2 linked regions of the Cricetulus griseus genome follow. The protein of the gene in region 1 interacts with the protein of each later gene in a biochemical or structural test. Links are inferred from orthologs where the notes say so. Each region holds a gene or a part of one and is shown in the gene's direction. Other genes may lie near its edges.

Evidence for each region.
Region 2: the proteins of Efl1 (region 1) and Sbds interact in a biophysical measurement, tested with the Homo sapiens proteins (2 studies listed by BioGRID and IntAct, with this or other methods). The link is inferred for Cricetulus griseus from reciprocal best matches to the Homo sapiens genes EFL1 and SBDS.

Annotation. Positions count from the first base shown.
Region 1 is NC_048596.1:114,921,267-114,925,180, reverse strand, and holds the start of Efl1 (elongation factor-like GTPase 1), read left to right. Parts: upstream 1-973; 5' UTR 974-1,081; exon of another isoform or gene 1,082-1,124; intron 1,125-1,812; 5' UTR 1,813-1,831; coding exon 1,832-1,922; intron 1,923-3,914. UniProt on the Homo sapiens protein: GTPase involved in the biogenesis of the 60S ribosomal subunit and translational activation of ribosomes.
Region 2 is NC_048597.1:109,589,140-109,593,053, reverse strand, and holds the start of Sbds (ribosome maturation protein SBDS), read left to right. Parts: upstream 1-1,182; 5' UTR 1,183-1,387; coding exon 1,388-1,515; intron 1,516-2,519; coding exon 2,520-2,649; intron 2,650-3,914. UniProt on the Homo sapiens protein: Required for the assembly of mature ribosomes and ribosome biogenesis.

The DNA of each region.
Region 1 (3,914 bases):
TTGATGACTGGATGGGAAAATAACTTAGGCTGTAAATAAATTCAGATTAAATAATTTTTTTCTTACACACCAGGTTTTGTAGATTCACACCTTAAAAGTTGTGTTTGCACCCATACTTACATACAATGTTTATTATGAAAAAGGCAGAAAAACTGCTTTCAATCAACATGTATTGTAGGTGGTTGCCCCTAGAAAAGGATTAGAGATACAAAGGGCTTGAAATTATTCATATTTACTTAGCAAAGGTGATCTAATCCCTGGGTCAACAGTAAGGCTGAGGAAAGGGAAGAATGTGTTTACTGGTGGGGGAAGGTTGTTAGGCAGGATTTACTGAGGTTTAAGACTGGGACTACTGCCTTTGTTTGTTTGTTTGTCAGGCAGACCCTATGAGAACGCCGCCTGGACAGGAATAACAATAAGGTTTAGATGATGGAAAGCCCTAGGTTGTAAAGACCTTGGATACTGTTCTTTTAAATTAACCAACAGAAATGATGGGTGGGGGGCACGAACTCTCCCCGTCCAGATTCCATCACTTACTAGCCATATTTGCTCATACTACTTACCAGAAGGACTGTATTTCAGTTTAAATCTCTGAATAGGAAGTCTCGGGGATTACAAAGAGGAAAAGTTTTGCCCCAGGAGCCAGACAAGTAGAGAAAAAGGGGGCACTTTGCAGAGGGTAAGTGGGGGAGTCGCCGGGCACTCGCCCCTCAGGCAAGGAAGTAATGGGGGTTGCAGGGAGAAGTTAGCGGTGCTTACGGCCCCGCCGACCCCGCAGCGGCCGGCCGTTTCTTACCCGCAGGTGCAAATCTGACACAGACACCTGTTCCTCATGCCCTTGGCTCCAGCGTCCTTCTCCGCAGAGCTTCAGGCGCAACCTCAGAGCAGCCACAGCGTCTGCAGTCGTCAAGGCAACCGCGGGATTGCACGATGAAGGGCGTGACGTGACTTCCGGTGGCGTTCAAGACGCGCGCGGGTCAGAGGTCGCAGGCCTGTAGGCCCCGCCTCCCGGCGCCTGCAACTTCCGGCCTGAGTTACTCCTGGAGCCTGAGAGGCGTGAGTGAAGAGCAGCGTGGAGCCGGTGAGTGGGGGGCCTGCCGGAGATGCCGGCGACCGGACGGTGGTGGGGACCTGGGGGCTCGTGGCGGCAGGGCTAGGCGAGCAGGGCACGGAGCAGCTGCACCTCGTAGGAACCTGGGACCCTCCGGCAACGACTCCCGGAGCCCGAACAGAGGAAGAGCTTGCAGACCTCGGTTTGCCTTTTTAATTGGAGAGGGATGGGCGATGTGTCATGCACCTGCTGTGTTCCCAAGCACGAGATCCAAAACTTTTTAAGGACATTCGGTGCAGTCTCGGCTGAGATCCTTAGGTCTGGTAAAAGCCAGCACGCTTGACAGGAGCGACAGGTTTTCGGAGGGGAAGTGGAGAAGAGAGAGATACCCACTTTTCCTGTGGTCGCCTTGAGCCACGGTACCTGGGTGCGAGGTGTCACTTAGCTGGGCGTCTCTGCACTCGGCTCCCAGCTGCGTGATTCATCGCGCCGCAGATCCGGAAACTCCCAGCACACTCCACAAGTGCTGTAAAGGTGTGTGGACTTTGCAGTGAAACTTGTTCTTGGGCTTGCACTGTCCTAACCCGTCAGAGGCAGAAGGAATTAAATGTGGCTAACCATTCCTTGGGGTCTCAGTTGAGAGATCTGAGGCGGCTTGTGAACACCAGCATCTGTCTCTCAGTCCGTCCACTTTTGTTGTTGTTGTTTTCTCCCTGACCCTTAAACTTTGTACCACTTGTAATTTGCATTTAATTTTTTAGTCACAGGATATAAGTAACCATGGTGCTCAATGGCGTTGATAAGATGATTCAACTTCAGAAACACACTGCCAACATCAGAAATATCTGTGTTTTGGCTCACGTTGACCATGGTAAGACTTTTTAAAAAATGGCTTTTTATTAACAAAGGGGATGTTTCTACGTATCATTGGAGTTATGAAAGTGATGCGTGCTGTGTTTTTTTTTTTTTTTTTTTGTGTGTGTGTGTGTGTGTGTGTGTGTGTGTGTTGTCAGAGAAGCATGCTGTAAAACATTTGTAATAGGTTACCTGGTAATTAGCATTCTTCTGCATAGGATTTCATATGCTTTTAAATTTGAACTTGAATCTTTGTTAAAATATGGATAAGTTTTTGAAATGTTAAACATCTACGGTCTTGGTAGAGGGTATCCCCGAGGGACCTTACTTAATTCATCACATACTGAATGAGCATTTGCTAAGTTTGTGGCATTTTGTTACATTTATCAAGAGCTAGACATCTCTGAGGAGCCCAGCTGCCCAGCTGTAGAGGTTTCAGGGATGAATCTGGGCAACATGATGAGATGGGGGAGGGGGGAATTGATAAGAGTTTTGAGAAATGGAGGATTGGGTAGCCAGATTGGGTTAAGAAAAGCTGTCAGATATGCCTTTTGAGAGGAGACTCTAGCTGATAGGTGGGGACAAGCATTTTAAGTGGCAGTGTGTGAACAGGGACAAGAGTGACTAAAGTGTAGATACAGCAAAGGCCCGGTTAGCTAACACTTGTTTGTGGGATTAGGGTAGACATTCCTTGACACCATCAAACTGCTTCATTCTGAGTCTGCTTGCCAGTTGGAACTTTTTCTTCTAGTAGCTGCAGCTCAGTTTAGAATGGCCTGTGAAGTCAAAACCACTCAGCATTTTAAAGGTGAGGGAGTGGCTGGGGAAGAGGCAGGCTAGGTCCTGTCTCTTAGAGCTTTTCAAGCCTGCAAGGCTCTAAGAGAAGGATTAAGTGTTCTAGCTCTGTAGTTAGACATCCTAAACTCTGAGTTCTTTTCAAATTACTTTGCCTATTTGAGCTTCAGTGTACAGCCTATGTAAAAGGATGGTTATGAGAACCATTCAGCAATGAAATACTTAGTCATGAAAATCGTGAGTAACATTTTTTTTATTATTGTGTAGGGAGCCATGGAGGGAAAAAGCAAGCAAGGGTGAAGTACTAATAGATTTGATTAGACTGGTATAGGTGCTTGGGTGGGTTGAAAGGCAGAAAAGAGGCTGGATGACTCTTGGCATTAATGTGAGCTCTGAAGAGAAGGTAGTATAGAAACTGAGATAATGGGTCACTTTGTAGGAAGAACCAGCTGAGATTGGTTCTTTTATATACAAATCAGTGTCTAACTTATCCTATGGGTTTTATGATTATATGCAAGTTTGGAGGATATGAGGTCTAGCCAAAGGTTTTACTTTGTTTCTTTTTCCCTTTCTGTTTCTGTTTCTGTTTTGTTTTTGCTTTGAGAACTAAATAGATTGACCAGTGTGTATGAAACATTGTTGTCTAAGAGGTTCAGCCTTGTTTAGTAATGGGAAGTTCGCATATTTAGAATAAATTCTACTCTGTTGCACAGCAGGAAACTGAGATTCTAGGATTACATACTAAAACACATTATTTAAGATCGTCAGAGGTCCTTTTGAAAAACTGGATTGAAGGAAAAATCCAACCATTTGTTAGGCCTACCCAACTGTGGAAATTGAATGTGTCCATGTCATTCTTTAAACACAGGTACCTATTCATGACTCTTGAAATTGTGTTAACTTTGGCAATAGTCTGATAAAGGTAACTGTAAATGTATATTGATTATGCAAAAACTTTTCTTTTATTGTAAAGTAGATTTCAGGTTTAGTTTTGAAACTGGGTTACATTGGCTGCTCTGGTGTACTGCTCCATAGGCTGCACTGCAAACAACAGGAAAACAAGTTTTCTTATTAAATAAGTGAAACAGTTTAACTAGCAAATGTTGTTGAGGGTCACACATAGGTAATTATGAAAGAAGACAGTGTGCTGTCATTTCCTAGTGACGATTTACCCATCATAGCTTCCTGAGGTAAATGTTATTGCTGTCCTTGT
Region 2 (3,914 bases), on another chromosome or scaffold:
CATGACATACATAAGTAGGTCGGGGCTAGGTAGAAAGACCCTGTCTCAAATAAGTAAATGAATGAAAGAAATGATTGGCAGCTCAGTGACACAGGCCTGTAATTCCCGAGCTCCTGACGCTGAGGCAGGAGGATCACAAGATTCGGGATACCTACTCTTTAGAGCAAGAGTCTCTCTTGTATATCCCTGGCTGTCCTGTAACTTGCTATGGTGGAACATACTGGCTTCGAATTTACAAAGCGATTAGCTTGCCTCTGCCTCCCGAGTGCACCGGCCACTACGCCGGGCCAAAAGGATTATTAAATGAGAAGAAAAGAAAGAGGGATCTTAGGAGGAAAAAACAAACACAGACTAAAGGCTGCCAGGCGCAGGAGGAGCCCGCCCATTCTTCTAATCCCAGTATTTGAGAGACTGAGGCAGGAAGGTCGCCCAGGAGTTAGAGACCAGCCTGGGCTACATAGTGAGACTTTGTTTCAAAAAAAAAAAAAAAAAAAAAAAAAAAAAAAAAAAAAAAGGACACTGACTATAGTATGCAGTTCAGGTGTGTGGACTCATTTGCACCTTAGCTGTATCTGAAATCAACTGTAGCGGGCATTGTTTAGATGTGGAAAGTAGAGTGTGGAGTGAATATTAGATGATACTGAAGTTTCGGAGTAAATGTATCTGGGAGTGTCTGCTAAGAATATACTTAAGTATTTAAGGCTAAAACCATATACGATCATGTGCTTTGACAGCGGTGATGAAACGGGGTCTCAAGTAGCCCAGGCTGGTCTCAAAGTCCCTGTGTAGGCGAGGATGACCGTGAACTCCTGATACCCTGTCTGTTCCTGCAAAACTCTGGGAGTACAGGCGAGGGCCATCACACACCTGGTGATTCGCTTTACGGTAATAAAATCGAAAGAGGGAGGACAAAATAAGGATGGAAACAGGTTGATAATTATTGAAGAAAGACGATGGAAGCTCGTTACACTTTTGTTTTTCTCCTTTGCCACTAAAACTCTGCTTAAAAGGTTAAAATGAATGCCGCTCCTGAATTCTGAAGAACGGTTCAACTAGAAGAACACCATGTTTCCAGCGGGTCAATCAATGAACTTTATTCACCAGCCAATGGGAGTTGCGGGCGCGCGCGGATTACGTCATCGAAGATCGCCTTCCTTTGAGGGCGGAGACGGATGGCGTAAAAGCCACACGGCGCAGGCTTAGTTGCTTTCTTAGCTTTTTGCCCGGCGAGTGCGCCGCCTGACGCAGGCGCAGTAGGGTAGCCAGGTGCGCAGTGACTGCTGCCCAAGTGTAGGTTAGCGAAGAGCCTAGCACCCTTGGGGGTTCGCGCGCCGCGGGGTCGTAACAGCCGAGCGCTTGGAGAGCCCGAGGTCTGTGAGCAGCCGCCATGTCGATCTTCACGCCCACCAACCAGATCAGATTGACCAATGTAGCCGTGGTGCGGATGAAGCGGGCAGGGAAGCGCTTCGAAATCGCCTGCTATAAAAACAAGGTCGTCGGCTGGCGGAGTGGCGTGTGAGTGATCCTGTGCCCAGAGTCCAGCGAACGGGCCACACCGAGGCCCGGCCTCCCTAACCGCGACCCCTGAGAGTAATGGGTACCTTTCAGGCCTGATGTGCTTGATTCCAACTGGCTTCTGGTTTGGGATTTTGTTGCTATCAAAAACTGCCAACTAGAAACTCCATCATAGCTAGGCCTGATGGTCTAGGCCTCTAATCCCAGCGCTCAAGAGAGTGAGGCAGGAGGATTGCTGCGAGTCCCGACCTGGAACTAATGTGTGTGATTCTGTCTCGCTAAACAAAACAAATGTGCAGCCAAGAAGCCCCGAATTGGGGGGGTGGCGGTAGGGGCTTCTTGGATAAGTGACTAATACGGGAATCCGATAGGCCAAATACTATCACAAAGAAAAGAAACTTACTGTGGTCATTTTCCTGGAATAGTAATCGAAAAACTAATCATACGAATACTAAACTTTGTACAGCAGATGCCACATACACACCCTTAGAATCTCCAGTTTTATCAAAGTGCGTAGTTCTTCACTACTGCCATCTAGGGACAGATATTCCAGGATGTAAGCCTTCAGCACCACGCCCCACCACACCCTGTGTTTCCTTACATAAAACAATGACGTGGTTTTTGTGTTTTTTTTTTTTTTTCCCAATCTGTGATTAAGTGGAAAAATACAGATACTGTCCTGAGTTTGAGGTTTTAGATTCTTCCTGCACAGGTCCTCCCCTGGGAGAGAGAGTGTGTATGTGTGTGTGTTCAGTTTCTCTTTTTTGGTTTTGTTTTTTTGAGACAAGGTTTCAAATAGCAAAGAAAATACTATATAGCTGAGGCTGTCCTTGAACTCCCTATTTTCCTGCCTCCACCTCCTATATGCTGGGATTTCAGATGAGCACATCAGACCCAATTTGTAGCACTTTCTATGTATCTTGTTGCCATCTTGTATTTAAATGTGAATGAATTTCTAACTGTCCAATGAATTTACATAGGATTTTCTCTCCTGCCCTTTCAAGGGAAAAAGACCTTGATGAAGTTCTGCAGACCCACTCAGTGTTTGTAAATGTTTCCAAAGGTCAGGTTGCCAAGAAGGAAGACCTCATCAGTGCATTTGGAACAGATGACCAGACTGAAATCTGTAAGCAGGTAGGTTCTGCCAGCTGCAGCTTAACACATCTGTTCTTCTTGATGAGTTTTTGCTGTTTTGGCATTTTTTTATGTTGGAAGATTTGGGAGATTTGTACAGTGTTGTTTTGTTTTTTGAGACAGGGTCTCACTATATAGCCGAAGCTGACATCAGATTCAATTGGATAGCCATGCTGGCCTGGAACTTCTGGTCCTCCTGCATCATGGTTCCTCACCCAACTCCAATATAACATGGGGGTGGGTGTTGCATATAACTATGTAGCTCTGGCTGGCCTAGAACTCATTATGTAGACCAAGCTGGCCTCAAATTCACAGTGATCCACCTGCCTCTGCCTCTTGAGTGCTAGAATTAAAGATGTGCACCACCATGCCCAGCTGTTTTTTCTTTTTGTTTTTGATGTGTGTGTGTGTATCAACAAGCAAATGTGGACATTTGTGCAAGGTGCCTGCAGAGACCAGAAAACAGCATTAGATCCCCTGGACCTGGAATTACAAGTGTTTGTGAGCCCCCTGGTGTGGGTGCTGGAAATTGAACTCCAATCGTCAAGAAGAGCAGCAAGCACTCCACTGTGCCTTCTCTCTAGCCCCTCCAGTATCACTTTAACTCAAATTTTCAATTTCCTTATGCTGCTTTAATCCCAAGAAATACCATTTACAGTATTAGTAGGAGTCTACTTACTTTGCATACACAGCTTTATTAAAACAGCATAAACAAAGAGGAATGAGAAGTTGAAATAGCTGTATTGTAACAAACAGGTGACATTTCAATGTCCAGATTGGAGAGAATGGTGGAAAGGGCCCTTCATAGGCAAAGGAGGTTCATGTGCTCCAGCTTCTCAAGTCCTCTCGCCTTTTTCAGGATGGTGGAGCTACCCCATTTAAGGGGAAGTATACAGTCTGGTCCTCTTCAAGCAGGTCAGAGGTCTCAAAATGTAGAGGATGGCTGGGAAAGAACTTTTCCTTTCTGGATAGGCATCTTTGGATGCAGGAGCAGTGCTTTGTGCCTTCACAGTCCTCTTGGTCTTTTCATAGTGAGAGCTGGTTGTTTAGTTTGAAGGGCCCTTTAGTCTTCAGTGGCTTCCCTGTAACTGCTGATAGTTTTCAGAGCATCTCCCGCAGTTTTAGGTAAGGCTGGCGGGGCAATGAAACTTGCAACTTCTATCCCAAGGCCTTGACACTGGACCCCAGCTTCAGCCCTTCCATAGGAGCACATGACTGCCACAAAGAGCCACTAGCCATCCTGGAATACTCCAAACTCCTCGGTT